Linked DNA regions of Caenorhabditis elegans. The protein of the gene in region 2 interacts with the protein of the main gene of each other region in a pairwise test. Each region holds a gene or a part of one and is shown on either strand. Other genes may lie near its edges.

Evidence for each region.
Region 1: the proteins of F57C9.4 (region 2) and ech-8 interact in a two-hybrid assay, tested with the Caenorhabditis elegans proteins (one large-scale study listed by BioGRID).
Region 3: the proteins of F57C9.4 (region 2) and sin-3 interact in a two-hybrid assay, tested with the Caenorhabditis elegans proteins (one large-scale study listed by BioGRID).

What each region holds. Positions count from the first base shown.
Region 1 is NC_003282.8:10,234,383-10,244,405, reverse strand, and holds ech-8 (Enoyl-CoA Hydratase), read left to right. Parts: upstream 1-5,229; 5' UTR 5,230-5,291; coding exon 5,292-5,354; intron 5,355-5,885; coding exon 5,886-6,041; intron 6,042-6,091; coding exon 6,092-6,235; intron 6,236-6,283; coding exon 6,284-6,403; intron 6,404-6,448; coding exon 6,449-6,875; intron 6,876-7,202; coding exon 7,203-7,324; intron 7,325-7,370; coding exon 7,371-7,468; intron 7,469-7,523; coding exon 7,524-7,707; 3' UTR 7,708-7,780; downstream 7,781-10,023. Other genes in the region: tkt-1 (transketolase), read right to left, coding at 1-618, 670-790; lipl-7 (Lipase), read left to right, coding at 2,602-2,688, 2,742-2,844, 3,125-3,492, 3,860-4,341, 4,390-4,501, 5,005-5,082; ech-9 (Enoyl-CoA Hydratase), read left to right, coding at 9,096-9,158, 9,203-9,358, 9,407-9,541, 9,587-9,706, 9,753-10,023.
Region 2 is NC_003279.8:4,822,889-4,836,130, reverse strand, and holds F57C9.4 (C2H2-type domain-containing protein), read right to left. Parts: upstream 5,992-13,242; coding exon 5,875-5,991; intron 5,822-5,874; coding exon 5,531-5,821; intron 5,486-5,530; coding exon 5,408-5,485; intron 4,899-5,407; coding exon 4,619-4,898; intron 4,303-4,618; coding exon 4,135-4,302; intron 4,087-4,134; coding exon 3,986-4,086; intron 3,938-3,985; coding exon 3,824-3,937; intron 3,778-3,823; coding exon 3,526-3,777; intron 3,483-3,525; coding exon 3,371-3,482; intron 3,320-3,370; coding exon 3,247-3,319; intron 3,198-3,246; coding exon 3,090-3,197; intron 2,662-3,089; coding exon 2,488-2,661; intron 2,441-2,487; coding exon 2,397-2,440; coding exon of another isoform or gene 2,347-2,396; exon of another isoform or gene 2,184-2,346; coding exon 2,097-2,183; intron 2,050-2,096; coding exon 1,731-2,049; intron 1,277-1,730; coding exon 1,186-1,276; intron 764-1,185; coding exon 602-763; 3' UTR 509-601; downstream 1-508. Other genes in the region: htp-3 (HORMA domain-containing protein), read right to left, coding at 6,455-7,450, 7,501-7,865, 7,910-8,094, 8,142-8,235, 8,285-8,436, 8,482-8,594, 8,639-8,742, 8,792-8,945 and 1 more; tofu-4 (Twenty One u-rna (21U-RNA) biogenesis Fouled Up), read left to right, coding at 9,498-9,797, 9,843-10,016, 10,065-10,172, 10,217-10,449, 10,494-10,610, 10,656-10,962; F57C9.6 (G-protein coupled receptors family 1 profile domain-containing protein), read right to left, coding at 11,320-11,404, 12,108-12,248, 12,302-12,499, 12,802-12,940, 12,998-13,116.
Region 3 is NC_003279.8:8,413,078-8,423,076, reverse strand, and holds the start of sin-3 (Paired amphipathic helix protein sin-3), read right to left. Parts: upstream 6,247-9,999; 5' UTR 6,246-6,246; coding exon 5,571-6,245; intron 5,183-5,570; coding exon 4,896-5,182; intron 4,627-4,895; coding exon 4,470-4,626; intron 4,358-4,469; coding exon 4,055-4,357; intron 3,656-4,054; coding exon 3,221-3,655; intron 2,730-3,220; coding exon 2,595-2,729; intron 2,549-2,594; coding exon 2,450-2,548; intron 2,124-2,449; coding exon 1,731-2,123; intron 1,681-1,730; coding exon 1,561-1,680; intron 1,493-1,560; coding exon 1,392-1,492; intron 1,199-1,391; coding exon 1,010-1,198; intron 962-1,009; coding exon 818-961; intron 420-817; coding exon 270-419; intron 224-269; coding exon 131-223; intron 82-130; coding exon 1-81. Other genes in the region: F02E9.7 (Tartrate-resistant acid phosphatase type 5), read right to left, coding at 6,991-7,210, 7,255-7,376, 7,423-7,570, 7,847-8,196, 8,257-8,408, 8,452-8,553, 9,016-9,106, 9,711-9,785. UniProt on the Caenorhabditis elegans protein: Probable transcriptional repressor required for the deposition of dimethylated 'Lys-9' of histone H3 (H3K9me2) on asynapsed chromosome pairs (both autosomes and sex chromosomes) during meiosis, but this does not seem to solely affect the transcriptional status.

The DNA.
Region 1 (10,023 bases), on a different chromosome or scaffold from region 2:
TTCCTTTTCCCTTCAAAGTCTTGGCGATGATGGCGGTTGGCTTTCCCTTGGTGGAACGAGCAGTCTCATATGCGGCCAAGAGCTCATCAACATTGTGTCCGTTGACAATAATGGCATTGAATCCGAAAGCGGCAAAGCGAGCTTTGTAGGTCTCTACGTCATGTCCAAGAGAAGTGGCTTGACTTTGTCCCAGTCTGTTGACATCGACAATAGCAACGAGATTGTCGAGCTTGTAGATTGAAGCAAAAGCAGCAGCTTCCCAGACAGATCCTTCAGCAGATTCACCATCTCCGAGAAGGCAGAAGACGCGGTAGCTGGCTTTGTCAATGTACTTTCCGACGTAAGCCATGCCAGTGGCAACTCCAAGTCCTTGTCCGAGAGATCCTGTAGCAACATCGATGAAGTTCAAGCGAGGAGTGGGGTGTCCTTCGATGTCCGAGTCGATTTTGCGGAGAGAGAGCACTTGCTCATGGCTCAGAAGACCGGCCTCTTCCCACGCAGCGTAGAGAATTGGGCAAGCGTGTCCCTTGGAGAGAACAAAACGATCGGCAGATGCTGATTTTGGCTCTGCGACATCGTACTTCATCTCCGAGAAGAACAGAGTTGACATAATCTCGGCTGAAAATGTTGAAATTTATCGGATTCGAGTAAATGTTGAATAATTCTTACCAGCAGACGTAGAAGACGTGGGATGTCCACTTTTGCTTGCGCAAGTCATCTCGATCGAGGAAATACGCATGCGGTTGGCAGCGTCTTCCAAATCATTGCGAAGTTGCTCCGAAACGGTCATTCTCCTGCAAAAATAATGGATTTTTGGGAGAATGTTAAAATTTTCAGAATAAGAACGGCAAAGAACATTCTCGAAGAAAATAGTGAATCGTCGGCCGTTTCACACAGGGAGAGACATACACCTTATCGTTATCAACTAGTATCATTATCATCTCAACGCACCACCATTTTCTTATCTATTATTTACTAATGGTACCACTGCATAAAACAGGAGACTGGCCGAGAAAACAACTCAAAATTCAGGCAAAAATTGCAAAGTGTTGGCAAAAAATGTCATTCTAAAGAACACCGGGCAGCGCAACGTTAACGTTTTCATCTTCGTTTCTGTACTTTGAATAAATAAAGAACTGAAAAGACAGGCCTAAAAATGTTTTTCTTGGACATATAAAATCGTGGAAAAAGACACCGCTTTCTTCTGCGTTGAAAGTATGAAAAGACAATGTCCAAAAAACCCAACACGCGTTTCATCACAACGGAAACACTAACTTTCTAGTGAGACGCAGATGTTCTGAAGGAAATTTTCATTAAAATGGAGATCCAATGACTACAAAATATACCAGTATATGAAAACAGTGACAATTCTCGATCGTTGCGCACAAAAAAGAATGTTTACCGACTAAAACAGCGGCGCTCTCGAGCGCTCTCTGATTTCTCACAAAAAAAATGATGAAAACTTTCGCGGCCATTGTGTTTTCTAGGCCCCGCGTTTGAAACTTTTTGGCGCCAAGGTGGAATCTCGAGAAAGTATCGATATCGGTATTTAAAATATGAGCTAACTTATTGTGCGTGGGGAAAGAAAATATGCTCTTAATAGGGAATTTATTGAGAAAAAAAGTTACGAAAATCTGTTAAAGAAATGCGGAAAATAAAGAAAATAAAAATTGGGGTTAAGTAAGTAAAAGAACCCGAATGAGCGTTCTCGCCTCCGGCGAGATATGCAGAGAAAGGAAATCAGAAACCACGCGCTGTCGCAAATTGGGTCAAGATCAATTCTTCCATATTTGATCTACCGAAGTTTGTAGGTCTAGAAGTGGTCTAGAAATTCTGATAATGTGTAGAAACGAATAATCGGGATTTCTGGAAAGAAAAATGCTAGTATTTTTAATTAAATTGTTATAATAAAAAGAGATGCAAAAATCGAACTTATTATATTTTGTCCTAAAAATTTTAAATCCCAAAAAAGTTACAGCATAGAGTGCAATTTTATGATTCACTATTTTCAGTCATTAATTTAAACAAGTACCACATAAAACTTAGCATAAAATAATTGTTCATTGTTAACTTGAGTACTCAAATATCACGTGGTGTCAGAATGTCCCATTTCGTTGTGATCTACAAAAAATGCGGGAGTTTAGACGTAGAGTTCTCAACTGATTTTGAATGGTTAAGAACGTGCTGACGTCACATTTTTTTGGGGAAAAAATTCCCGCATTTCTTGGAGATCAAACCGTTACAACCTGACACCACGTGAAATATAAGTATGAGGGAGTGTGCCAAGCAAGGGTTACTGTAGCTATCGTCATAAATATTAAAACCTAAATGCCATTTTAAAAAACCTAAAATGTGAATAGTTTTACATGTACATTTACAATATCTAGATTGAAGATGAATTTTAAAATAGAAAACGCGAAATTTGTTCATTTGGTGTTTTAATCTATTAAAAATACTTCACTTGTAATTGAAAAGTACCTAATCCTTGACCCCAACATATGTTATTGACATGTCCAAGGTGGTAATTGTTACAACAGGTGTGACCCAACACTCATCCTGTTGCTCTGCCATATAACCTCTCCTCCCAAGGTTTTTTGATTCATGTCAAAAATCGATTTATTTTTGATTTTACTCTCATTTTCTATAAATTTAAGTCTAGCTATTGACGATGAATGTTACATGACTGTGGTAAGATTTTGAGAAAAATTATTTTATTAATCTCAGAACAAATTTTTTTGTAGCCAGAAATAGGAAAACACTTTGGGTATGAATCAGAAGTACATTTAGTGAGAACAACGGATGAGTATATTCTGGAACTTCACAGAATCCCATGTAAACAAAATGGTAAGTCTGTCATTTTAGTTAAAAATGTGACATTTGAAAATTAAATTTATTTCGTAAACGGAAACTTCAAAATGAAGTATCGGCAGTAGAGATTTTGTACAAGTTTTCTCATTGATTTTTAACATGGCCGATTAAACAAAATGAATAATTTCAGATTTCTCTTTGTTCCAGTATTGGTAAATTTCCAAACTGTCAACAAAAAAAAGAAGTTTTTGAATAATTTAATATACATTGAATTTTGCTGTGAATTACCTTTGATATCATCTCTAATATTTTTCAGAAAAATGTGACAGAAGCTCAAAACGTCCAATAGTATTCATGCAACACGGCCTCCTTGCGGACGGATTCTCTTGGATTCCGAATCTAGCAAATCAATCGGCTGGTTTTGTTTTCGCCGATGCAGGTTTTGATATTTGGATTGCAAATAGCCGTGGAACTCCTGCATCACAAAAACATATTGGCTATGGACCGGAAAATCAGAAATTTTGGAATTTCACGTGGCAACAAATGTCGGAATTTGATTTGACAGCGAGTGTGGATTTGGTATTGAAGGAGACAAAACAAGAGTTTTTATATTATTTGGGACACTCACAAGGAACTATGATTATGTTCTCAAGACTTGCAGAAAATCCAGAATTTGCAAAGAAGGTATTTCAATTTATTGCTAGACACAGAGAATTTTAAAACAAATCTAATTCGTTTCTAATTATAATTAGTCAGACAGTTTTTCGGCACCCGTGCGATGAAGGATGTATTTGACATGTTTTTGTATGACTACTCGTATTATGGGGTATTGTAGTTACAAACAGTACATTTTGTTGTGACTACTTATGTAGTTGCCGTAATCCAACATTTGTTTCTCAAGCTCATGCTTTGCACAAAATTGAAAATCACGATCAGTATATATTTATAGTTTCTGTATGCTAACAAACATTTTCTTTGTAGAAAGTTACATACGATCAGTTAATATGCTTTTAGTCTTTCTTTACCTCCTCAAAAGCAACAATAATTTAAGATTCGTCATTTCCATGCATTGGCTCCAGTTGCAACAGTATCCCATATCGGTGGTCTATTTGGATTGTTTGGGACAAAGTTTCTAACTTATGCAGAAATCTTGCTCGGTCGACTTCCATACTCTCCACTGTCAATTCCGCGAACTGTTCAAAAAATGATAAGTTACATGTGCAGCAGATTCTTTATGCAAAATATTTGTACATTGGACATCGGTTTCATTGATGGAAATGAGAAAATGTTCAATCAATCAAGAGTTGGTGTATATCTTTGTCATACACCTGCAGCCACTTCTGTAAAAGATTTGCAACACTGGATTCAACTTGTCAAATCACAGACTGTTTCTAAGTTTGATTATGGAACTGATGGAAATATCATTGAATACGGGCAACCTACTCCTCCGGAATATGATTTGACACAGATCAACACACCAACTTATCTCTATTGGAGTCGTGACGACATTTTGGCTGATACTCAAGATATTCGGTTAATCAATTATATTAGTTTTGATGTAACTAAATGAATGATTTGTAGAGACTCGATTCTGTCAAAAATGAATAAAACAATCGCTGGATCACTGGAACTTCCACACTACAGTCATATGGATTTTGTATTCGGTACGCATGCTGCATTTGATTTATATCCGGTAAGTCTGAAATCAAATTTCCTACTGAATAATATCTTTTCATTAACGTTAGACCGCGCATCTGTAATATTTACACTTTGTCAAATTTTGGTAAAACCTTTTGATTTGGTTTTGATCAGGCCTTGGTAAAGACTTCATGTGTGCGTTCTGGAAGGTTAAAAAAAATGAAAGTTGGTGGGTCAGACTTAGGTCACCTCATATTTGAAATCTGTAACACGTTCCGAGCAAAGTTTGACCAATTTCTGGCCAAGGTGTATTCAAAATGTGGTCACTCTTTCTAGACATTGAACAGAAAACATTTGAAAAGGAACGGCTTCTGCAGAAATTCTCTCTAACATAAATTAATAGAGTTCCAAAATATTTCAATTCCTTATTTTCCCACTTTTTCGTTTTTGAGCAATGGTCCAAATTTTCCAAAATGCCGGGTTTGGTTGTTCTTAATGTTATATTCTTATTTTTGAAATTACATAATAAGGAGTTATTTAAAAACAAATTTATTCCAGAAAATCATCGAAACTATCCAAGATGACTACAACAAATATCGAATCACTCGGATGCACAAATTGAAGAAACATTTATGATTTTTCATCGATTTTTTTTCAAAAATAAATAAAACCGTGTTTTATTGTTGTTTTAATGGCCAAAATGTACCTATAGGCTACAATGTTCTTCTTATCAATTGATCGCTAACGTGGGACACATCTGGCATATATCAATGCAATTTCTTTAGATCTTTTAATTCGTTACAATTGGTTTTATTTTGAAATTTAGATTTTTGAAATTCAGAAAAATGGATAAAGTGCCACAAGCAGTGAGGGACTATTTGATGGAGGCTCATCAATTGGCGGCTCAGGTAACTTTGAAAACTAAAATAATAAAGTTTTTTGAATGAGAAATTAGTTATTTTCCGCTTTTCCGTATCCGTGGGCACTCTGTAGATTTGTGAATTGTTTGTTTTTGGTATTTTTCAGTGAGGGAAGACCACTTTTCGGCAGAATTTTGAATTGAGCAATGGTAGAAATCACTAAAACGATATCGTTTATAGTATATAGAGAACAGAAAATAGCTGAAGTTACAGATTTCGATTTCATTGATAATATAAAATATTAGTTCATCCGGCAAACATCGGAATAATATTTTTTTAAAGTATTTTTCAAATATCGAAGAGCACGACTATATGATTCAATGGCAAAATTCTAAGTTGTGGTGAAAAATAATAATAAACAAGAAAATCCCTTGATTAGTCAGTTGCCAAAATTTTTGAAGAACTTGCTCGAGAAAAACGCGCATTTTTACACTTTGCAAAGTTTTTCAGCATTCAGCTTTAACAATATCTGAAAATCACAATTTTTTTACATCAGAATATGAAAATTGATCATTTCAGTGGTCTCTTCCAAATGATCGCGGTGACTACATAAATTCGAAATCAATTCCAATCAAATCAGTGGCTGTAATTGGAGGTGGAACCATGGGAAGAGGAATTGCAATCGCATTTTGTTTATCAGGATTTGAGACGTATCTTGTCGAAGTTAACAATAAGGTAGCCATAAAGTTTAAAAATAATATCAATTCAGTTAAACTTGTTTGCAGGCTGCCGAATTCTGTAAAAATGAATTGGAAATCACTTACAAAAGGGAAAAAGCATTTCGAAGACTGAACGATTCAAAAGTTGAAAAATTGAGAAAAAATCTACAGATAACTACAGATTTTCAAAAGCTAAATAATTGTGATTTGGTGAGTTTTTGTTTTTATTTTCAAAAGAAAAAAAAAGAAAAATTTCAGATTGTAGAAGCCGTTTTTGAAGATATGAAACTGAAAAAGGAACTTTTCACTAAACTTGATAAAATTTGCAAACCATCATGTATTTTTGGAACCAACACATCAAGTTTAGATTTGAATGAGGTACGCTTTAAGTTAACTATTCCAAAAGAACATGTTCACTTTCAGATGTCATCAGTACTTAGAGATCCAACAAAAGTAGTTGGAATTCATTTTTTCAATCCGGCAAATTTGATTCGAATGGTTGAAGTGATCTACGGATCGAAAACTTCCTCCAAAGCAGTTGCTACAGCTTTTGAAGCATGTAGATCTATCAAAAAGCTACCAGTTCTTGTGGGAAACTGTCCAGCATTTGTATTTAACCGGCTACTTGGAGTTTATCTGAATCAGAGTCAAAAGTTGATGTATGAATACGGATATCTTCCTCATCAAATTGATAAAATCATTACAAACTTTGGATTCCTAATGGGTCCTTTAACAGTAGCTGATATGAATGGATTAGATGTAATGGAAAAGTTGAAAAAGGAGAATGGATGGCCAGCAAGTGATTTTGAAAAGGAAGTTTGGAGACAAAAGAGATACGGTAGAAAAACAAGTACGTCTTTAAATAAATTGTGAAATGAACTGAGAAACGGATAATTTCAATTTCTTTGGAGTATCACCAGCGGCAAATAGTTATACATAGGTTAAAAAACAAATACCTTCGCTCCGGCTATAAGAAAAGTTTGAAATATTTGACAAGCTGAAGTCTGAAATTTTTAAAATATTTTTTCAGTGGTAATGATAAGTGCCAATCAAAATTTTGAACGTTCCAGAAGGAAAACCGGAAATTATTGTTTTCAATTTATTTTTTCAAAATGAAGATTTTCAAAACTGTCACGAAAAGCCCAATATTTTTTACCAATTTAGGTGTAATTTTCAGATAAGGGATACTACAAATATGATCCAAATACTCACAAAAAGGAGAATGATATAGAAATGGAGCAGCTCATTCGAAAATTTTCTTCAGCTGCAAGTCCAAATATACAAATTTTGAACGATCAGGTACTCACTTTCTAATTTCATTCAAATTCAACCGAAAACTTACCAGGATGCCGTCAATTTCCTCTTGTATCCCATGGTCAACGAAGGTCTTTTGTGCATTGAGGAAGGAATCATCCATCATGAAAGTTTGATCGATATCATGTTGTAAGTAAAACTTAATTTCAAAAAAAAATTAAAATTATGAGCACAATTGTTTCAGCATTCTCGGGTTTGGATGGCCTGTTGCTACTGGTGGTCCGATGAGATTTGGATGGCTTCAAGGAATTGAAAAAGTTGCGAGCACAATTATTCTCTGGAATTCTTTAGAACCAAATGATAGAACATACAAAGTTGCGGCCACGTTGCAAAATGTGGACAGGAAGAATTTTGCAGCGAAATTATAAATTTTGTAGTTCGTTACCATGTTCAAAGAGATGATTATTGTAAAAACATAAATAAATACCCTGTATACAATTGATCTACTATGTACAAGAAATGACATGCTGGGGATTATAAATTTTGTCGAAAGTTTGATGCAAATCAATCTGCAAGACCAATTGCCCATCTCTAATTCTGAAAATTAAAATGTCTTCTGTATTTTTTTGGATAAACCCCGTGAGGTGCACAAATAATAATTATAAAAATAAAAGTACGGTACATTTAGCGAAAAACGGATCTTGAGACATTCAATTGTACACTTATCATTATTATCAGTAACATGGATTTTGTGGGCGTTTTTCGTATTTCAACCGGACAAGCACTGTCATATGAAATCAACCCTTACTCTTAGACATTTGAGCTTGAAAATTGATAAGAAAGTGGAAGTAAATGTTGCCTTACAGAATCACAAAAATCAACATAAAGACTGCCTTGCTGAAATGACGTTTTGTATTAAAAAATATTACTGATTGTGTTGGGATTAAAAATTTGATATCAAAACGAAAAATACTTGGTAAATAGGTAGAACACACATTTTTTCAAGAAAAAAGTGTTTCCTCTGGTGCTCGATATGACCGACAATAAACTTCAAATTTTTAGCTGTACTCTGTAGGGCACAATAATTATATTTAAAAATTTCAGTTCAAGCCAACTTCTGTACAAAATCCACCTTTAAAAAATTTCAGACAACACTTTGTTGAGCCCTACCAGAGATACGCGTCCATCTGCATTATTTTTCAAAAAAGTTGGCGATAGTTTTTTGTTCGGATATCGTAATAATCTCACGATATGCTGCGCTATGAAAATTGGATGTTTTTCAAAGTATCAAAACAAGTTATAGCCTAACATCTTAATTTAGTAAACAACTCCAAATAAATCACATATGTATGTACATATACAGATAAGAAACAATAAACTATACACAGAAATATTCACAAGGCACATGTTTGCACTTGATTTTTGAATTATCTAGATCTAGACGGAATTTCGTGTTTTACTCTTAAACAAAGACGACAGTGTACTGAAAGCACCAAAGTCTCATCAGCTCTTATCATCAATGAATCAACAAACAGACAGTGACAACATCGACTAGATCATTTTCTGTCCGGGAACTTCACGGACGAAATGTCGGGACAAAATCCTCTTTGTTATCACTAACGAAATATTTGGAAAAGTGGGCAGTAAAAACGTGATATATTACAAATGAAAAGTACCTATAAAAGGGTGGTCTGAAAACTCTGAAAAAATATTAACTGTATCGTGTTTAAATTTTTCAAACATTTTTTAAACTTGTATAAACAATGTTGTTCAGCCGATTAAATTTTTATACTCCAGAATTGAAAACAATCAAAAAATGGGCAAAGTTCCAGAAGAAGTCAGAAGCTATTTGATGGAAGCTCATTCCTTGGCGGGACAGGTGATTTCATTTCCAATTAAATTATTTGAATTGTATACTTCCAGTGGTCTCTGCCAAATGATCGAGGTGATCACACGAATTCTGAAGCTTATGATGTAAATTCCGTAGCAATTATTGGCGGTGGAACTATGGGAAAGGCAATGGCAATCTGCTTTGGTTTAGCTGGAATTGAAACTTTTTTGGTAGTACGAAATGAGCAGGTGATATAGATCTTTAAAAAAAAACATAATTTGTATTTTTATTTTCAGAGATGCAAGCAAGAGTTGGAAGTTATGTATGCTCGGGAAAAATCATTCAAGAGATTAAACGACAAAAGAATCGAAAAAATCAATGCAAATCTGAAAATAACATCAGATTTCCATAAGCTTTCAAATTGCGATCTTGTTTGTTAAATACTTTAACGACATTTTTTAAATGTAAAATTGTAGATTGTTGAATCAGTAATTGAAGATATGAAATTGAAAAAGGAACTATTCGCCAACCTCGAGAACATCTGCAAATCAACTTGCATTTTTGGAACAAATACTTCAAGCTTGGATTTGAATGAGGTAGAGCCTTAATTTTGCGAGAAATTGCTAACTTTAAAATCTATAGATTTCATCAGTTCTCCGCGACCCAAGCAATCTTGTTGGAATTCATTTCTTCAATCCTGCCAATGTGATTCGATTGGTTGAAATAATATACGGATCTCATACTTCATCACAGGCAATTGCAACTGCTTTTCAAGCATGTGAATCAATAAAAAAGCTTCCGGTTCTTGTTGGAAATTGTAAATCATTTGTATTCAACAGGCTTCTTCATGTTTATTTTGATCAAAGTCAGAAGTTAATGTATGAATATGGATACCTTCCACATCAAATTGATA
Region 2 (13,242 bases):
TTGCATTAAAATTTTCTCAAAAAATTTTTATATACATTATTTTGCCAGATATGTAAATTAGTTTAAATGTTTTAAATTTGATAATTTTAAATTAATTTCAAGTTTTAAATCCTAAACAACTTTTTTTAAAAAATTTTTGCAAAAATTCGATTTTAACGGCGTCTGTAGGTTTTTTTTGTCAAAAATGTCAGAGAACAGTCTCAATATACTGAAAAATAACTGTAAAAATTTATAAAATTTTTCTAAATTTTTAAAATTATTTTTTTTGTAATTTCGCAAAAAAAAATTCCAAATGGCCGAATATTTCTAAATTTCAAAAATTGTAAAAACACTAAAACTTAGGAAATTTCAAAAACTTTTCGTTTTATTGCACCGTTTTTGGTGATTTTGGGCAAAAAACCAAATAAAATTCCAAAATTTTGATTAGATTAGATAAAAAAGCATGCCTGTAGGAACTAGAGACATTAATAAGGGTGCAAAAACCAAAAAACGAACAAGAAAAAACAAGTGATGGTGCAAATACATTTATTACATATTTTCCAAAAAACAAAAAAAGCAACGCTTCCACTCAAAAAATACCTCGATAGACAATAAAAAAGCGTTAAATTTGAATTCCGTGACTTCGAATGTGAGCTTTAACGTTATCTTTCCGTGCAATCGCTCGTCCACACACCGGGCATTGATATTTCTTTTCACCAGTGTGCACAAGTCCGTGGCGACGCAGTGTTGAGGCATCGGTGAACGATTTCGAACATGTGTCACACTGAAATACGAGAGAGAATTTTGAATTTTTTTTTCACAGGAAGGCGATTCAAAATACAACGGAGTGCGCCTTGGAAGTGGTATTGTAGTAAGAACCTTTTTTTTCAAAAATGTCAACAATGTTGTTTTTTTTTTAAACAACTTAAATTTTATTTTGTAAAAAAAAATTTTAATATTTAATTGTAAAAGAAAAAATTGAAAGGTTTTTTTTTTGAGAAATTCGATTTTTGTTTTTTTTGTCGAATTTTCTTTGTGATAATCATTGTCTGCAAAACTTTGGATCTAACTAAATTGTAGCCTTTTTTAGCCTTTTATTCCAAAATTTTTGAAAAATTTACAAAACTTTAAAAATAACATTTTATCAATAAAAAATTCCCTGATCGATCTATATTTGGGAAGCATATTTTCAAATGTATAACTCACTCTGTATGGTCTTTCACCAGTGTGTGTTCGAATGTGGGTCTTCAAAAAATTCCGACGTCCTCGTTTGCCGCAATGCTCGCATGCAAATACACTGAAATATATTAATTTAAAATTTTAATTTAAAACAAAAAATCTGTATTCTCACCAGAGCTGTCTTTTTTTCCGATTTTTTCCGAAAAATCGAAGAACGGAAAATTTTAGATTTTTTGATAAAAACTAATTTTTTACAAAAACATTTTCGATTGAAAAAAACGAAAAATCAAAAGTTTTTCGTTTTTCGATATTTCCGACATTTTTCCGAATTTTTAAAAATTTGATTAAAACTTTGGTCTTTTTCTTCTTTTAGATGAAATTTTAATGTTTTTTCTCATCAATATAAACTGAATTGGATTTTAAAAATATGGTTAATTTTCTGTACATTTTTTTTCGATTTTTCGAAAAAAAAACATCGAAAATTTTCGTTTTTCAATTTTTTGATTTTCGATTTTCTCTCAAAAACATGAAAAACATCAAAAAACCAAAAAAACGCCAGTTCTAATTCTCACCTATTTGTATGCAATCGATAATGTTGTCCAATATTATGTGGCTGAAACTGATCCGACGGACAAGCTTCGCATTTCTTTTTCTCCTTATCAACATGCTTATTCAGAAAATGTTCTTCCATTTGCTTCTGATTCGATAAATCCATCGATTTTTGTTCTTCTTCTGGACACAGTTGACATATTACGTATTGAACAACTCCAACGACTTTCTGATTTTGATCATTCGGTGAATTTCGTAGTAGAAGAGGGCCTGATTGCTCTTTTCCATTTTCCATTTTTATGTGCATTGTGCTCATTGTAGAGGTTGATGGAAGGTTTGGACCTGCAAATTTTGAATTTTAGAAATTATTTCTCTCAAAAAAGCTTTACCTTTTACAATAACACTGGAAAACTTCTCGAGTTGTTCCATAAAATTTGGCATTTCATTTTTATTTCCTTCTTCCGATGAAACATTACCTAAAAATTAAATATTTTGCAACTACTCAATTTTTGTTTCTTTTATTTTCACTAAATTTCATTCCTTTAAAACCAGAAATAAAATTTTTATTCTCGAGACCGTACAATTAAGAAGAGATGTAAATAAGTGAAGTGAAAAACAAAATAATTTAGAAATTATCAATTAAGTTTCTGTTGCCGGGTTAATATTATTCAACGATGTAGATGCATCACCAGGGCTATAGTCTTCGTAATGTACTTTAGATGCACGGAGATTGCTGAAAATTCCTGAATTAATAAAATTCCTTAATTCGACGAAACTAACAAAGCAATCATTTCTTCCGGAGTCGCATCATCACAGGCAACATTTTCCTTCCTACAGTACTCCCGGAACTTTCGCATTTGTTCCCATTGTAAATGCATTCCGCAGTTCTTCTTTTCACTGCAATTCAACAGAATACCTCTTGTTGGATCGTAATGGTAGCTCCGCAGATTTTTCCTGTTTGAAATTTAAATTAAACACGGAACAATGGTTATTACGGGAATTCCCGGGAACACAAATTTCTGGGAATGCGTATTGCGCAACCTATTTGACGCACACAATATCTAAAACTACAGGAATTCGGTAAATGACTACTGTAGTGAGTGTGGCGAATTACGGGCTCGATTTTTGAAATTTATTTTTGAATAGTGACAGCGATAGTATATTTTCCTTTGTTTATTCGTATTATTTTATCGTTTTTCCTAATTTTAATATTTTATCGAAAAATAAATGATTTCGAAAATTGAGCTCGTAAATCGATACAAGCGTTACAGTAGTCATTTAAAGAACTATTGTAGTTTTCGCTACGACATATTTTGCGCATCAATTATGTTGCGCAATGCGCATTCTCAGGATTTTGTGTTCCCGTAATACGATTCCCTCACATTGCTCTTCCAAGAGCATGATTGAATGTAGTGTTTGCCAATTTTCTTTCGGTACGACGTCTCATAATCTCTTCAAATGGATCGACAGCATCAATTGTTAGAAGAAATCTGAATATAATTAAGAATAAATTTAAAATTACTTGTTTGAATTTCTTACGGGTCCATGGGGTCAATTTCACCGTCGAGTAAGTATTCAGGAAGGTAGAGGCCTACAATATCGGTAGTCATATCTGAAATTCAATTAGTTTCAGAAAATTAATTCGAATTTCTGTAACAAGTACCAAATAACGTGGTAATGACGTTTTGAGGGAATTCCACAAAATGTTTGTCACAAGTTCTGACAGTTGATGGCCGGTATGTGTAGATCCAGATCATATAAACCGGATTTAAAACCTGAAGGATACTTTAAAATTCGAATTGAGCAACTAGGCCGTACGTTTTTGAGCACAGTTTGGTAGAAGTTGGTGAGCTGCATTGTAGCGTCGGCTCCGAAGAGATTAGATGAGTTATAGGCTTCCGTTAGATCGATTGAAGGGAAATAGTCAACAGGCAGAGTCACATATGAACGAGTAAGCCTCTGATGCTTGATCAGTCCAAGCTTGGTCTGATTCGCAAAACTTGCTGAAAGTGAGCTGATTGATGCTTGAACTCCGGCGATTGCTTTTTCTTGTGGATCCAACATTTTCATCTAGAATATTCATATTTGAGATTTTTTCAGCAAAAATTCGAATTACCATAACAGTTTGTCCCATCATAATTGCTTCATTTTCCTCTTTGGTGCATTCTTCCGAATCTTTGTAGAATCGGAAAATTGAGATGTTAGGTCTGTGAGTGGTTTTGCAAAATTCCTATAAAAAATCTTTCTAATTTTTAATTTTCAAAGTTTTAAGCTGTACCTCCAATTGATTTTCAGTTAGAGTTTTGTTTTTTATACCATCAATGACGGCTCTTCCGATGTCTACTATACTCTCCCGACGAACCGCCAACTCCAGCTTGTCTGGAAATTGTACGAATTTTTGAAATTTTCAAAAAAAAACCATTATACCAATATTTGATTGAGTCGAGCTTCGTCCAGAATAATTATATCCGTCGTCACTTTCTTCTAATTTTGGTTGCAATAAGTTGGGAAGTGTGACCATTCCACGAGCATTTCCAATAGAAACCGACTGACTTTTTGGAATTTTTCGTTTCAGTTTTTGATGTGAAGAGGTGCCTGAAAATTTTTGGATTAAAATATTCGTTACGTGGTCCGTGTTCCTACATCAGCGTTTTTAAACAATTCTTTCCGTATCTTCCCTGTTTTTATTTTCGCATCATCGATTTCCTGTCACTAGTCTGAAAATTTGTGGTTTTTTTTTGAAAATTCATTTTCTTGACCGAAAAGTCAATACGAAAATATTTACACAGGGAAAGCACAGAGAGAATTATTAAAAACGGGAAGAATATTAATTTTAAAAATAAAATAGAGAAAAAACCGCGAATCGAAAACCGACGCGAAGATTTCGTCAATGTTCAGACAAAATACTTACCATTTTGAGTATTCCTTCCTGCTGCAGCCATTTGCAATTGAGCTGTGGCTGCTCGAAACATTTGAACATCTGTATCAGTCTCATCTTCTTCATCATCATCCATTCCATCACAATCAGAACCACACGATTCTCCATCATCTCCACATCCACATCTTCGCTTTTTTATATGCGTAGTTTCAGAATCGTCACGACTTCTTTTTCGATTTCCAGATCCTGTGGAACTTGTAATCTGCCGGAGAAGTGCAATTTCTTTTTCTTGAAAGTCACATCGTTGTTTTAGCTGGAAAAGATAGGGTTATTGATTAATTATTTCATTAATTAGTACTTTTCAGATCTGAATTCAGAAGCGAAAATACAATATTTTTGGCGGTTTTGAAGAAATTAAAAGATTTTGTTTTTTTATTCATTGAAAATTAATGTCAGAATATGTTTTTTTTGACCACTTGATTCATCTTAAAATAAATTTATTTTTAACGTAAGCACCGAATAAAGTTCTAAAAAATAAAATATAAAAAACTCGATAATTTTTTAAGAAAAACATGGTGCAACATGCTATTTTGTAGAATTGTAAAAAATTATTCGCGGGCGGCAATTCTACAAAATGGCATGTTTTCCAATATTTTTAAATGAAAATTAGTGTCTAAAATAATAGAAAATCACTTAAATTATCTGAAAATAATTTTTTTTTCAACTGGAACATTGGAAAAATGGGCTGAAAGTTGCCGATTGCTTTTTTTTATTTTCCATATGAATCAAAATATTTTCTATATTTTGACAACACAAACTCACTGTGTTATAATCAACTCTGGCTTGTTGAAGTTGCTTCGTCAACTCTTCCACTTTTGTTTTTTGGCTTTGGTGTTGTACCTGAAATTTTTTTTTTTTCATTAAATCCTGACCATTTAGTTTTACTTTTTCTTTTGCATATAATTGAAGAACATAATCACATCGTTCCTGTGGTGGTGGATGAGAAAGTGGAAGAGTTTTTCCCGAATGTTTTTCTCTGTTAATCGGTTCAATAACCATTTGAAATGGATATTCATTTTCCGAATGTATTGTTTCAATCCGTGGTCCTAAAATCGATGGATCGCTTTTCCGTGCCGTGGAGATTTCTTTCAAAATTTCAATAAAACTGGAACACTCGTCAGAACTGATCGATGTATCTAGCAAAATTGTAGCATCGGAAGGAGACGTTATTCGAATCTGAAAATTAATTATTTTTATTTAAAAATCAATATATCTCCAATTAATCTCACTTTTTCAATACCCTCTTCATTATTGGTAACAGCTGATATGCGTAGAGAACATAGTCGACCGTTGAAAATGGAAAAATCACTCTCGTAGAGCACCCTCGAATCGATTAATGATGTCATTTATCCTGAAAAACGTTGATTTTTTTCAAAATGTGGCGAACTAAATAGAACCCAAAAAGAGAAATTCATTAAAAAAACACAATTCTTAAAAACTTTAGCTGGAATAAGAACAGAATGCCAAAGTGAAATCGATTAGAGTAAAGAGCGAACGGCCACTGAAAAAAGGGAAACAAGTGTATGTCACCGCGCTCCTTTGAGAAAGAAAACGGCGCTATGTTCAAAAAAGAACGCCAACGAAAGAATTCTGAAACGCTGGAAAATACTTGAATAGCTCTAAATATTTCATCACATGCAAGTAATATTTTGTATTTTAACAAATTCCCATCATCATCGGATATGAAAATTAATATTTAAAAAATTCATTCGAAAACTAAGGCATTTGTCCAACTATTAAAAAGGAAATCGAAGAAACAACAAAAAAATGGAACAGATTGATAATTGTACACGATTGTCCAGAAATCGTTCAGTTTCCTCTTCTACTTGGCATGTTCGGCGACTGGCCGTACCTCATTGCCTTTGGAGGGTTTGGTTTGAATTTCTTGGAAGTCGATTGGTTTTGAGTGGAGCTTTCGGTATCTTCCTGTGGATCTACGTCACTTAACGAACCAGCTACATCAAGAATACTCGAAACTCGGCCGTAGTGTCTCTCTGTGGCAATAGCTGGAGCGGCACCTGATGGATCTACGTCAGCGAACGAACCAGCTACATCGAGAATACTCGAAACTCGGCCGTAGTGTCTCTCCGCAGCAATAACTGAAGCTGCTCCTGCTGGTTGCTCCGTGACAACCGTTTGAGCTTCTTCAGACTGATGCTCCGTCACAATGATTGGAACGCTCTCCGATTGATGACCAGTAACATTAATTGGAGCTGCTTCTTCATGCTGCTCGGTGTCAATTGATAAGTCGGCAAGTCCCTCAACAGCAATTTCATTTTGAGCATCTTGAGCATCATTTTGAGCATCGTTCTCCTCAGCCCTTGCTACATCCAATATACTTGGTACACGACCGTAGATGGGACTTTCACGAACGTCTTCCTCCACTGTATCGTCAGTTGGCAGATCAGCGACGTCGAGAATACTCGACACTCGTCCATATTTTCTCTTCCGTGGTCTTTTATCCGGGATACTACCGTTCGCCAAATCTACCTGAGCCTCTTCCGAAACCGGATTTGCAACTGGGTCTGGTTTTTTCCTGTTAATAGAAGTATTTGAAACGCCATATCTTGCTGTTGAGCTCTCCTGCTTCTCAGATGTAGTATTATCTAGATCCGCAGCTTCCTCAGGTATTGCAGACTTTGATTCATTTCTCTTCTCGGGAGAGGTGATAATAGCATCAGAGTCAATTTGAAGAGAATTCTGAGCATCAGAGTCAATTTGAAGAGAATTCTGAGCATCATCATCATTTTGTTCTTCTGGCTGTTCATCGACTTCAACTGGAGGTACAAGCCGACGAGCACTTCTCTGTAAATTATTGAACTTAACATTTTTATTATAACAATAAAAATAATTACCCTTTTTGGGTTCACTATTGGTTCTTCTTCTTTCTGTTCGCATCGTTCATTGTTCTTCGTGGTGCGTTTACTGGAACGTCTCATCTGAGCTTTTGGCGCTTTTTGAGGTTGCTCTTTCACCGGGGACTCCACGGGAGAAGCCGGTTCCGTTGGAGTTATCGGGACAGCGGGAGCTCTCGTTGAACGTTTCTTTGCAGCTTTCACTATTGGAGAACGTTCCCTTTCAACAACCATTGGAACTTCATCATTATCAGCAATCAATACATTATATTCGGACTGCAGAACCATCATTTCACTGGCCATACTTGGATTACAACGAATTGATTCGTTTGCCACATCTTCGTCCATACGTACTTCTTGACGACCTATAAACATTAGAAAATTAATTTTTTTTCTCGACAAAACGCACCTGGTGAAAAATAGATTTCGTCAAGTTCAGGATTCTCAGCACAATTCATTGTGTTATCTCGAACAACTTCGATCGGTGTGATCGTTGAGTTGAGCAAATCATCTTCAAAATGAGAAACTTCCACTGGTGGACGAATGGCTGAAGGCTGTTCAACCATGAATTTCGAGGCATATGCGAATTGAAATCTGAATCAATTTAATTAAGAATTTGATGATTGAAATGACGAACAAACCCATTGCCGTGAGGAAAACTAACAGCACCAAGATTGATCTGCTCAGGATTCACAAAATCGTCGACTTGTTGAAATCCGGGAACGAATTCCGGTTCTAAAACAATAATTTATTTATGATTTAAATTAAATATTTTTAACCTTACCTCCTCTGTATGCTACTTTCATCGATGGAATGAGGCCTCTTGGTAGCGGACGGAGCAGGCTTAGAACATTTCTAAGCTCGCTGAACATCTTGCAAAACTGTTGAGCAGTATCATCCATGTTTAAATAATTCACCACAAATTTAGATTTACGCCTGGAAAAGAGTCAGTGAAATTTATATTTAGATAAATGATCTAACCCTCCGTATCCGATTTCGGCACTTGCAGATGTGGTTGAGTCATAGACAAAGGTCCAGACAAACGTTTCCACGGGATTCGTGTTTAGTGACTCTTCAACGACAATAGCGAGTTTCTGCAAACAATGAATTTTTACCACTTACGAGAGTAAAACTGTACCTGAAGGAGTTTCTGACGGATCGCGTCATGAGACGCCAAAAGCTTCGAAGACACACTCCGTCCTTCTGGAATGTCTTGTCGCAAAGTATATCCGCTGACATCTCCTATAAAATAATTCATGCTTAATTGCAAGTCAGATAGATAAAACCTCACCATAAACTTGAAAATCCTGGAAGTATTCCGCAGGAATAACTTTCCGTTCACGGAGAATTGTTGAGTTTGCAAGATAAACGCAGTTGGCCATCACTTCAAGAGAGCTTTTCGAATTTTCATCACCATTTTTCAATGTTTGCTCGTTGAATATAGCCTGAAAATTTTCGTTTTCTCGACAAAAAAAACTCTGTCAAATCTACTCACCCTGTCATCACTCGTCAGAGAGCCAGGGACAACAGAAGAGTCGAAGCTTTCGTCCATTTTGACACTTAAAATATTTTAAAACATTTTTTTTAATTAAAAACTAATTGAAAATGAGAAAAAACTGAAAAATAAATGAATAATTTGACATAAAATAACTAATTTCAACCGAAGTTTACCGTAACTCAGGTCAACATGTTGTGTTCTCGTGTCGAGACCCATGGAAGAAATGTCATGCACCTTTAAGTTTTTTCTTTTATATTTCAATTTTTTTCCGTTCATTTTCTACTTAAAATGCACTTTCAAGAGAATTTCTCATATTTTGAAGTTTTAAAATTGTAGTTTATTAAAATCTGAGCATATCTCTATGTATTTTGAGTCTAGAAACCGCTTTGAAATGTGCAAAGAACAGATGAAAGCACTTAAAATTTAAATAAACGTTTTTTACTTATTCATTTATTGTGTTTTTAAGCTTCTATATTTAATAATGAGACATTAATTTCAGATGAAACCGACGACGAGAAGCGCATCAAAAAGAGCAAATGCGGAATCTTCGGGAGTGAACCAGCCCGAGAAGAAATCACGAATTCCTGAAACAGAAATTGTAGAGGATCCGTTGGAGATCGAAGTACCGCCCGCATCGGCAGATGGCACTGACAACAAGAGTTTTTCAGAAAATGAATACGACGATGATCACAGTAGCAGCAGCGACGAGGAGAGTGATGATGAATACGTTGTGGAGACTCACAAGAGTTCGATGGTGGATGCTGCAGAAAGTTCCGAAGGCGAGCGACCGGATGAACGCGTATGCTGCCTTTTAAAAAATTTTTATCGATTTAACTTCTTTAAGATTGTCCGAGAATTAGAGCAGAAAATTGCTCGTGGGTTGAAGAACGACAGGATTCTCAAAAAGAAAAAGAAAGCGTTAGATGGGGAAGTCTCAGACACTGAAGACGTGGTTTGTGAGTACGAACCACAAGCGATGCCGAAGCAACGAAGAAGGCGACTGTATAGAAGAAAAATGGTGGGATTTTAATGCTAGTTGTTGAAATTTAGAAATGATTTCTTGCAGACCAGACCTCAAGGAGTCCCTAAAAGACGTCGCATCAAGAGACCGGACCTGGAACTTGCAGATGATTACACCTGTGACACTTTTGCTGAGCAAGGATTGACTCTGAAGGTGTGTAAGAATTTATAATTTAAATATTTGCAATAATTTTTCAGTCTTTGACAAGTGACATCAAACAAGACGATCCTGAAGTCGATTGGAAAGCAATGAGAAGGATGGGTATCGGAATCAGATCAACAAAAAGAGACGAAATCAATTCCGATGAGGATGAAGCGGATATTATTTCGCATTCATTTTCTTTCTACCAAACAAGAAACTCTAAAGAGCAAGTGGCACAGGCCGTCGAACTAAATATGAACCCTTTTTCGGAGAAGATCGCGAGCTACAAGTAATTGTTAAGAGAAATATCATGAATAAATATTATGTTTTCAGTGCTCCAAAGTCCGTTCATGGATACAGTCGATCTTCAATTCAAAATCAACATTCAGGATTTATTGACAAGAACGACATCAAATATCCGGACGAATTATTATGGCAGGAACCATTTACGTGAGTATTTTAAAACCATATATATTGATTAAGAATATTTTTCAGCCATCTCGTCTTCTTCCAATCCACATTCAATGCTCACGAGTCTTCCATCAAGTTCCTGAATAATGTCGCAAATTCAAAAAAGCAGGAAAGAGACTCCAAACTGATGAAGGAAATTCGCGAAAGGATTAAGCAGAAATCGCTCGGACATGTAGATGTTCCAATCGACTACACAAACGTGGAAAGTACATCGGAGCAGCCGTCGACTATTGATCAGTACAGCCTTCCTGACCTGACTAGTCAATGCGACGAGGGAACCATAAAGGAGGAAGAAGACTTCGACTATCTGATGGTAGACGCAGAATTCTAAAAGAATTTTTATCCGAGTCACATTATTGTTTTAATTATTCTCTGTTTGTTTCAAATTTTAGAGCATCTAGCTGTTGTTTGAGAATCTCAAATCTCAAATTTATTTATATCGTGAGAATATAATCTATCGTTTTTTCCCGTATTTGACCAAACATTTTCTGTAATATTTAGCTTTTTCGCAATCGTTCGACACTTTATATACGTTCTTTGTTTCTTTTCTAGTAAGATGTTTTTTTTTTTAATAAAACTTTTTTTAAATTTTGAAAATCAAGTTTCATAGAAAAATAGCGATGAGATTCTTGGGAGCGACCAGAAAAATTTGATACAAAACATTAATGGAGATGGAAGAAATAAGTTATTAAATATCAGTCGGTTGACTGTGACGCTTGAATACATCCGTTGTCAAGATCGGATCGGTTTTTGTTAGGCAGGGGAAAATAGTTCTGAAAAATTGAAGATTTAACTTCTTCAGTGGTTTCATTGCATTTTTAGTTATTACGGAAACACAAAGTTCTGAGAAACGCGCAACATATTTGAAGCGCAAAATATCTCGTCGCGAAAACTACAGTAATTCTTTAAATGACTACTGTAGTGATTGTGCCGATTTACGGGCCCGAGTTTTGAAATAAATTATTTATAGATATTGAAATTGAGCAAAAAATCAAAAAAACTAATGATACGAAAAAACTAATTGTAAAGAAAGTTGAAATCGCTGTCACAATTCGAACAGAAATTCATTTCGAAATTCGAGCCCATAAATCGACACAAGCACTACAGTAATAATTTAGAGAATTACTGTAGTTTTTGCTACGAGATATTTTGCGCAATACGCATTCTCAGAATTTTGTGTTCTCGTTATGTCGCGACATGTCGTGTATTTATTCACATGCCTTCTTAAAGGCGCATATGTTTCTTCAGATGGGTCTCGACCCGCAAAAGTTTATGGTGGTTTTTTTTAAATTTTCGCCGCTGTCTTCCTTGCATTTTCGATGAAATTATTACATATATAGCGAATTTTGTCATTTTTCTGTTAAAAATTAAAAGAGCCGCAAAAAGCCTACCATAAACTTTTGCGCGCCGAGACCCATTTGAATTAATCCGTGCGCCTTCAAGTAGGCATGTCAAAATCTTGTGAAATTACGATACCTTTTCAGAATATTTCTAAATTCCCGCATTCTCATGAAACAAAGTGGCTGAAGAAGTGAATGAAATGAGATGAACAAATAACACGTGTATTTTGTGAAAATGTATCCACTTCTGGCATGAACTGGAATTCCTTTGCTTCTGCTGAAAAAAATGAATTCGTGTTTATTATTTAAGATTTGATATTTAAAAAATACCTAGTGATATTAACAAGATGCATTCCTTGAATAACTGCATAAGTGGTTAGATATACTGAATATACCAAAATGACACTTCCAATCATTAGCACGTACTTCTTTCGACGAGCAATCGATTTTCCGTGTGAATGATCTTCTTTCAGAAGATCAGTTTCAGCTTGGTATTTGACATCGGCTCGTACAAGTTTTGTGATTATTCTGGAAATTTTTTAAATTAAAAGAGCATAGAACTTTAGAATTTAAAACTTTCTAGACTTCATTATCTACATCATATGAAGTCTCTATAAAATTTGGAACCTGTAGGGATCCCTGTGCAGGGATCGTGGCGAGACTCACTCAGTAAAACAACATGTGCCTTTAAACTGAAGTGTCATACTTTTATGAATTCACGATATATTTTTGTTAAATCTATGGATTATTCGTACTTTGACTAATTTTTTCCCGATTTTTTGCGGTATTTCAGAATTTTAGACTTTTTTTTTTCGAAACGAATTTCATACCTAAAGAGAATAAAGTAGCAGCTGGCGGTGATTGCAAGACATATAAGACAAAATGCAATGAGAATCATATGAAACACGAAATAATGTGACAAAGACGTCTCCTGATGTTTTATGCAAAACGAGGCTCCACTCATCATTTCTGAACAAAAAAATCCAATTAAAATCCTTTTATCCCTTTTTCAGATAGAAATCGTACCATTTTCACATTCTGTGTCAATCATAACACTTCTCTGTCGGGTGCTCGTCAACATATTGAGTACTGTGAGGACGAATGCTAGCAGCCAGCTCAATACAATTGCCCAGAGTACGCGGCATCTGAAAAGGAGGTTATTTAGACAAGGCAAAAAATTAAAAAGAAATCTGCCAAAATTGGCACATGTACCAGTCACGGTGACTGAGATCGTGGCGAGACCCAGTTTTAAAAATAGTTATTGACAAAAA
Region 3 (9,999 bases), 3.6 Mb from region 2:
GTGGACACTGGTACGACACGATCTCCACAAATACGACGACCATCCATGTTCAGTAGAGTCATTAGATTTTCGTCTTCGTTTCTGAAATTTTTCATGATTCCGAAATGGTTTTAAACCCTTTTTAACGAACAAATCTCCTTGAAATTTGAATATTTCTCCATTATCCAGATCAATTTGAACTTGTTGTCCCTCCTGACAAAGCCATTCCATCAAGATTCTGTAACTATTTTCTGGGGCTTAACATTTTATTCTTTTTCATAAAAAATTACCTGAATAAGACAATTTTCGTTCGATCTCTATCACATTTCGTTCCCGAAAGATCATGGAAAAAGTGACCAGTGACGTCATTTACATCTCTATACACTTTTCGTTCCGGTGTATATTCCAGAATTAAATGTGGAGAAGTGTCCGTGCTATTACTGAAAATATAGGTTTTTATGCCGTTTTAAAACCGAAGAAAAACGGAAAAATTCGCAAAAGAAATAAAATCTTAAATTTTGGCTAAGTTCCCTGTTTGAATTCCCTCCAGAATAAGAATCCACTCCAACTTTGTAACCAATCAGCATCTTCGAACTCTGCACACTTCATCTGGCTGGTTCAAAAATGGGCGGAGCGAATCGCTGATTGGTCGCAGATCTCATTATGGAAAAAATTCAATTAGGTCACAATTAAAAAATCGAAAAAAGTTTTAATAATTGGCATTCCAATTTTTTCTTGTTTTCCTTTCGATTTTCTTTGATTGTATTTCTGAATTTGACTATTTTGGATTTTTTTTAAGCATTAACGCCACTCCACCTTTAAAGAAAAAAAAACAAACTTTTTCCGTCTTTCCTCACAGATTTGTTCGATTTGATTAACAAGAGGCTTCGACTTGAACGCTTTTTGATCGTAATTCTTGTGTTGATTATTCAAAATCGTCGTTGCAGCCGACATTTGCTTGTCCAAAGCGTCTCTCCATGTTCTAGAATTGATATTTTTAGAAAGTTTTGAGGGAAATTAAGTAAAAAACCTGTTAGTATCCTGTTGGAATCGACTCCACAGCAAGTCTTTCTCCTTCAGACTTTCAAGAATTCGTCGTAAACCTACAAGTGGATTCTTTTGTGCAGCATCAATGAAATCTTGAGCAGAGTTTGTGAAGACTTTTGCTAGAACACGAATTGTGGTGGATCGAGATGAAGCATTGAGCCATTTGTCCAATCTGAAAATCACTTTTTACAATGAAAACAAATTTTCGGTTTCGTTTTCAAAAAACAATTGATATTTTCTAAATAATTTTCGGAAGTTCGGACAGAGAATTTCGGTGTAGCAGAATCCCTTTCTAAGAGGTCCTCGATAATTTTTTTTTTCAATTTTATGTGGTATTTTTGTAGATATAATATCTGAATACTTACTTGAACGACTTCTTATCTTCATCACTCATCGCCTCGTAATCTCGAAGTGTTTTTGACAATTGTTCGATGACAGTTCGATTTGAATCAACAATAATATCAAGCTGAAATTTTAAATAATCTTGTTAATTGAATATTTGTTAAATTGTCTTCACATCGAAAAAAAACAAACCTCATAACGTTCATCCTCGGTTTTGAAATGAAATTCTTCCAAATTCGATTTCTTAATCGCCTGACTACCAGTATCTTCAGATGACCATGATGGTATTGATGTCCACGTATCATTGAGAACCTGAAAATATCATTCAAATAAAATTTTTAAATTTGTGTAATTTTCCATACTCCTTTGAGATCATCATCCAGCTCAACACGTCCACTACAATCAGTTGCTTTCGTATCCTTCATAAATCGATAACTAGGACCTAGTGTACACACTGTTGCTGCTTCAACATTCTTCACTTGTTGCAACATTTTTTGATCACGAAGACCTCGTTTTGGTTGAATGGCAGGTAAATCTTTTCTCATAACTGCATCCATATCATTCTCTGGTCGATTTTTTGGTTCTTTTTCTGCACCCAATAATTGGAGAATAATCATTTCAAGATCAGAACCAGATGTTCCCATGATCTTTGGAAGTTCACTAATCAATTGTTCTCGGGTTATATCCAAATTTGCGTAGGCATTTATCAAAACCATCAGGTGAGACAGTTGATTCGGTGTTGTTCGACTTTTTAGCTGAAAATAAAGTTTATTGAATAAGCAAAATGATAAAAACTTTTAGAGGGCGAGTGGCTTGAATTGGATTTTGTTTTAATGGGTTATGGGGTTATTCAAGTAGTGTTGGAAAATTAAAAAGTGTAGAAAAATTACGTCACACCTGTTTTCAAGTATTTAAATACATGTGTGACGTAATTTTTCTACACTTTTTCCGATAATAATTTTTAACACGGCGATCGGCGATCGCCGATTACCGTTAATATTTTTGTCTTCGGCGATTTTATTGACAAATTTGGATTTTGAATCGAAATCCCCATTTACGCTACTCCACCGTTAAAACAAACCCTTTCATAAAGAATTCTGTATGATTTCTTGAGTATCATCAATTCCACGGTTGCTCCTTCATCGCCTTGCCCAGCAACTTTTAGTTTCAGTTTTTCATTCTGAAATTTTTAATCATTTTATTTAATTTTAAAAGGAGTAGCAAACCTTTTTAGTCCCCATTTTGCATTTTTCCATTTGTTTCACTAAATCCATGTCGACATCGGATGGATTTACACGATTTACAGGTGGAATATCGTTACGATCGTTGGTGGCGGAGAAATGGAGAATTGTTTTGATTTTCTGGAAAAGAAAAAAGGTTTAAAAATATTGATTTGCAATGATAGTTTTTTTTTTCAAAAACGAAAAAGGCGTTTTGTTTACAAAAACTGGTTGGTAGATCAAGGGCAAATTGCATGATTATTGAGATTTTTTTTTGATCTATGATATTTTTCGACGATGAACAAATATCAAGTCTACTTTTCTAATTAATTATTTCAAAATATATTTAAATATTAAAAACTGAAAATTAAATTAGATAGTTCACTTGAATTGTTTTAGATATTTCTATTTTAAATTTTAAATTTTCGCAATTTCGTGAATGGGAAATTTTCTATAGAATACTGCAAATATTCTGAAATTCAAAAATCATGCAAAAAAACGAAAAATTCTTGAATTTGGAAAGTTGTGGTTTTTCATTATTCCTCGCTTTTTCGTGTTTCATTTGGTATTTCGGAATTTCAGAATATTTTTTAATTATTATGAAAAATCATATATAGGATACATTATCTCACCAATGCTATCGCATCAGATCCATTAACAAGAAGTTTCCCAAGATATGGAAGAAAATCAATAGTTGCTGCAAGAAGATCAGGTTCTCCAATACAACAATTAGCAAGCATTGAGACAAGATAATCTGAGCACGATTCCTCAATTTGCAGATTTTTCGATGAATCTTTTTTCTCAATATCATCAGGTTTTTTGATTTCTTGTGGTGCATTGGATGGTCCTGGAACATCATCAACTTCGATTTTCTCATTTTCTTCAATCTCGTCATCCTCATCATCTTTTCTCAATTTTTCCATATCTTTTTTATATTGTTGATCACTCATGAAGAAGTCAATGAACGTCATGAAATCAACAAGTTTCGTCGGGCGAGCCAGAAACGATTTTTTGAGAAGTTCGATTATGTTCAGTGTATGAGCAGCCAATTCACTTGACATTTCGATCTGAAAACGATTTTTAAATTTTTCACATGGCACTTACATGTTTTCTAGATCAATTATGGCTTGTGAAGGCAGAAGTTTGATATACAATAATAAATAGCTAAGAAAATGTACTGAAAAGACAACAATGTTTCGCTACAGTAAACACTCCAGGACAAAGAAAGATATAGAGCTCAAACGAGCAAGAGAATCGCCCATCGTTGAAGAACTGGGAAAACCAGCAACTATCAGTGAAGGCAATACAGAAAAGTAAAAATTTTAGAAGATTTTTATTTTTGAAGAAAAATCTGAAAACGTTGGTATGTATTTTTTTAAAATTTATCAAAGAAGATTTCAGATATGTTTAAAATCAAATATTTTAAAAACCTTCAAGTTTTTTGTTTTCAAACAAACAACACAAACCTCTTGTTGTGAATCTTCACAATCATCCTTCTTTCTATCATCACAAATAATTTCTTCAATCAAATGATTATCTTCTTCCATCATTTCTTCATTATTTTTATCTTCTATTCCAGATTCTTCATCATCTTCATCATCAATTCCATCTACATCATCTTTTTCTTTACTTTTATCCATATCTTCATCTTCAATTGTACGGTCTTCGTCTTTTGATATTCCTTCTTGAGAACCCAACTCAATTGCTCCTACAGCTTGTGCTCCAGCTTCAATTGCACGGGCTCGGCGTTCGTCAGGCGATAGCAGAACCTTCAAATTTTTTGTAATTTAATTTCGAGGCAAAACAATATTGTGTGGATATTGGATTTTTAAAACTATTTTCAAATCAGATTTTTAGTATAATCTAAATATCCAAACGAACCCTTGGCTGCATTTGTGGCGAAGAAAAAACATATTTTCGATCTGGAGTCAATGTGATACGATATCCAGTTGGCAGAAAAGTATTGAATCCAAGAACAAGTTCCGGTGAATCATATAAAAGTTCTGCTACTTGTTCAATCACATCAGGTGTTTCAATTCTGCAAAAAAGACAGATATTTGTTTTTTTTTTTGGATTTAAATAAAGCAAAATTTAATCCGCATCAAATGTGTCGGTTTTACGATATTTCGGAAGATAGCTTGAAATTTTTTGCCTTTTCAAGTAAATTATGTTATCTTATGTTTGAACAAAACAAATGTTTTTTTAAAGTTTTTTGTAAATCTAAGAATATTTGTTTTCCCGGAAAAACCAAAACAATTTTTTTTGATTTTCAACCTTCAAAAATAAAATTCAAATTTTCAGAATTACCTCTGAGCACGAAAATCCTTCATAATTTCCAAAAATCGATGATAAACGGGTACATCAGATGAGAAAGTACTTTTAATAACTCTCAGATAGGCGAGAGCTTCATCAACACGTGGTGGACCTTCTGGTTTCTTTCGACGACCTGGACGATTTTGTCGTCGGCCACCTTGTTGTTGACGAGGCTCACGTTGAGGACACCCTGCAGAAGTTGCTGGAACAACTGGAGGAACTGAAGGAACTTCATTAGAAATTGGTCCTTGTTGAGCAATTGGAAGGGCTAGTGGAGGAGTCTGAAAAATAGATTTATTGGTTTTCGGAATGAATTGTTAAATTGACGTAAATATAAAATTGTCAATTGCTATAAATTTTTTTAGTTCAGACATGCATTTCATTGATAAAATATCATCATCTAATATTTGAAAACAGTCTTAAACTTCAAATTTTTACACATTTTCTTCAAAAAACTTACGAAATGCTGAAAAACAAAAGTAATTCTGTTATTTTTTGAGCTCAATTGAGAAATATTAGGTTTGCGAATTTCGGGAAAGCAGAAATGAAGGACAAATTGTTTGGCGCTACAGTACTTTCTAACTTTTTAAAATATAATTTTCTATAAAGAAAGGTTCAGACCTTCCAATTTTCAGACATTTTTTAATTTTCAATCAAATAAATATTTACGGGAATATGCTGCTGATGCTGTACTTGTTGAACGGGAACCTGACGATGATGGGCCAGGATTTGTTGTGCCTGTTGAGTCGATGTGAGATTTTGAATATTCAAAGCTTGTTGCTGTGGAATCGGACGAATCAATGGAGATTGTTGTTGACTGTTGGCCCTTGGTACATTTGCAGCCTCTTCCTGTGCAATAAATTGTTCAATATTTCTTGCAGCTTCACTATTTCTAGCAAATGGGGTTATTGCCGGTGAATGAGATGGTAGTAGATATTGTTGCTGAAGAGCAGAAGCTGCTGGTGAATGTGATGGTTGAAGTGGAGAACCGATATGAAAAGGAATTGGAGAACCTTGAGCATTTTGTGCAAATTGTGCCTGAGCTGCTTGAACAGCAGCTTGTACTTGAAATAATCCTAAAGGATTAAATGGAAATTGATTGAGTCCTTGAAGAAGTTGATTTTGTTGTTGTTGATGTTGCATTCTTTGTTGTTCTATCAAAATACGCTCTTGATCACGTATTTGAAGTTCCAGTTGTTGTTGTTGTTGATTCTGATGCTGTTGTTGATGTTGTGATTGTTGAATCATTTGTAATAAAAACAACGTCGCATTATTTGTAGGTTGTTGTTGAGATTGATCTCCTCCATTGTTGCCACCGCCGCCTCCAGGTGGTGGATTGTACATTCTGAAAATCTAACTTTGGAAAGTTACCTTTAGTGAGAAGTTTTAGAAAATAGAGAAAAGAGACAAAAATAAGTTTCTTTATTGATTTGCTTTTTTAGCACATCCTTAAATTTCCAACGCTGTTTCAAGCTGAACGTTCAGTTTCAATTTTTTTAAAAATCAATCATTTGATTTTGTATTATTGAACTTAAAGTTTGAAAACCGTATATAGCTGAAAAATCGAAAGAAAATTTACTTAAATTCTTTTTCAAATGTTGAGAAAACTTTAGTCTTTGATTAAAATGAGACATTGTTACGAAACAGTAGAATTTTTGTTTTTCTAATGTTACAAAGTTTTCAAATTCGATAGGAATATTGTTAGTAAATGTTTGTATGATTAAAAAACGTTACACTTTGAAATTTTAACAAAAAAAAGAACATTTTGTTCGTAAATCCTGTGAAGTATTGAAAATGGCGCTCGTTTCTCTGCTGCCTCTCCTCTCTCGCTTTTGCCTTTCAGAGCGCGTTTGCATACAGCTTAAGAGACGCAGAGAATTTATTTTCCGGAAATATAATTTAACGAAGTACGCTGAATAACCTTTAAAAAGGTGGCGGAGCTCAAAAAATAATTTAAATATTACAATTTAGAGCCCAACAAATAAATAAAATTTTTATTTTCAACCCGTTCAAGATATATTATACATGAAATTATGAGGGAGTTCAATAAATATTCAAAAAATTGAATTTCAACTGCTTAAATAATTAATTACATTCCTATTTCTACAAACGGTGAGGCAGTTGATCGTGTCGATGTATCCGTCGGGATCACACGTGTGGGGATGATCGTCGAATAAAGCTGTTTTCCTCTTTTGTCAAAGAAATCGAGTCGAGCATTGTAATGTCCAAATTCTGCATATATTAAGCCGCCTTTACGGAATCCGAGCTGCGAAACTGGTGACCACGAGAACCATGATTTTTCCGGATAACTGAAAGTTTGTTGAAATTACTTTTTAATGCTTTCAATCTTCACTTGAACTTCAACGTATCCCTACTGAATTCTTTAATATGCTTCGTTGATGCATCTGCTCGAGAAGCTGCTCCAGACACAACATAGTTAATTATATGCTCTCCATACCCGGGAAAAGTGAAATGCTGAAACATTTATAAAGTAATTTGAATTAAAATTACTAAGGTAAACCTGCAACGAATGGTCGTGTCCTGAGAAGTAAGCATTCACATTAAATCGTTTTAAAAGTGGATCCAAACGTTGACGTAAACAGTCAGTTGGACCATGTGATGACATAGAATGAACAGGATAATGACCAGAAATTATTAGGTATTGGGCACTGAAAGAGGATTTTTAAAATAAATTTCCATTACCCAGAAGCGAAATCTTCCGATTTCTGGGCCAGGCATAAGATGCACGGTCTCGGCACGACTAAATTTTGTTGAATGCAAAAATGTGCGCCTTTTTTTTTAATCTTGAATATAACAATTTAAAAATAGATGAAAATTCCGCAACAAGAGTTAAAAATTACAGTACTTTAAAGGTGCATACCTGTTTTTATTTTACAAAAAGGTCGTGGCGAGGTCATTTTTTGAAAAAATCCAAAATTCCTAACCTGCTTGCTTCTAAGTTATTCTCCAACCATGCCCATTGTTCTTCAGCGGCAGTTATATTAACAGGACCACGTGGATCATGTGATTCATTACGTAACATTTCAATAAAACCAGCATTTTGAATATCCTTTGTATTTCCACATAAGGAAATTGTATCAATCATTAAAAAATCGATAGAAGTACCATTGAATTCTACTGATTTCTTATAGTAAAGTGATGGAAAATACCACTTTTTACTATGTTTTGTATATTCAATCTCGGCGGTCACATTTCCAAAATGATCATGATTTCCGGCTATTGTGAGCCATGGAACTTGTAGACTCGGATTCGTGTAGACATTTTCGAAACGTGACTGAAATATTTTAAATTTAGAGGGATTTACTAAAATTTTGGGTTAAAAAAAAGTACAAACCTCGAATCTTGGATCAAATTCATCAGTGGGTCCCGTAAAATATATGTTATCACCCATATTTAATATCATTTGAACACTATGTTCATCTGCTAATGATGCCATTGTCTGTTTGACTTCATTTTGTGCCCAAGTCGTCTCCAATATTGGAATTCCTGAATTACTAGAGATACACTTTTTTCTAAAATCATTTTATACCTCCTGTATCACCAACTAACAAAATTCGAAAACTTTTTGAATCTCTTTCCGGATCGTAAATATTTCCATTATAAAGCGGAACATCTTCCGACGATGAAATGTCTGAAAAAATAAAATAAAATGAGATTTAACTTGAATTTTGGGTCAAGAGCTAATTCGGGTAGGTGAGGTTAGATGTGCTAGTGAGGGTTTTTGAACTAAAAAAACTAACAAAGTAGAAATTTTTGGAAAAAAAAATTCAAAAAATTCAACTTTTAAAATGTCATTTCTTCTAAATGAGATCTACCACCAATCGACACTCTGCTCCGCCCACTTCTGAATCAATCAGTGAGTCGGATTCGTTCGGAGTGAAGTTGAAAAGTCCCAATGTGTATTTATTTTCAGAATTATAAAAAAAGATGTCGATTTTTCGATTTAATTTAAAAATCGGAGAACAAAAATGTTTCGTTCTTTCGAGAGAAAAAAATTAAATTTTAACAAAAAAGTTTTAAAAATTAGGATAAAATTAATAATTTAGTAAGAAGTGCACTCTAAAACCACCTAAATCCCTCATGAAAAACCAACTGGAGACTGCAATGAAGAAGATTGTCGAAATGCCGAAAAGTCCCACAAAACACATGATTTTTCGCATTTTCCGTCGAGATTTCACTTTTTGCTGAAATAAATTTATTTGAAAAAAAAGATTTTTGAGAAATTCAACTTATTGAGTGTTAAAAACATTTGTAATCTGAAATTCTAGAAAATTTAAATTTCAAAACAATACTAGGCAGTTAAAAAAAGAGAATAGTCAAGCGGAACTGATTTGTCATGAATTGGAATATAAGCCTATTAAAAAGGCTTATATTTCCAAAAAGGGATTACTCTTTGGCCTTAAACAATTCGAGATTTACTAGTTTTATCTGTTGGAATATTAAAATTTTGTTTTTAAAAATATGTTTTTGATATAAAATTTGAATGTTTTTTCAGAGGGCAACAATAACCACAATAAACTGATAAAACTTCATGAAATGATACCCTTTTTTTATGCAAATCGGTCGTTTTTGGGAAGTTTATGATTCATCGGAACTTTATTTTATTTTATTTTTATCTCATGTTTTTAATCGTGAGAAAATTTTGAGAAGGAAGAAAATGCAAGCTTATCGAATTGTCAATGATTTTCAATAATTAAAAAAAATGTTTTAAGCTAAATCGTGCAAAAATTACTTGAAATTTTTATATATTTATATTAAGTTATTGATTTTTTAAAATGCAAGACTTACTGGAAGATCAGGAAGAAATCGATCAAGTGATGACGAGCTACTGCGTTTTTCCAATTTTTCATCAACAAGCAGCATTTTCGGTAAAACTCTTCAAGCTTGAGGGTGCTCTGACCTGAAATTAATAAAAATTTATTCATTTTTATACAATTATTTATCAATTTGAGGAAAACATCGGTGGAAGGAAATTCAAACAATTTCGAAACTTTGAGTAATTTCTTAGATTTGAGAAAAATTACTAAGCGTTCCGCAATTAAATGAGTATTTTCAAAAGTTGGGCATCGATTTCTCT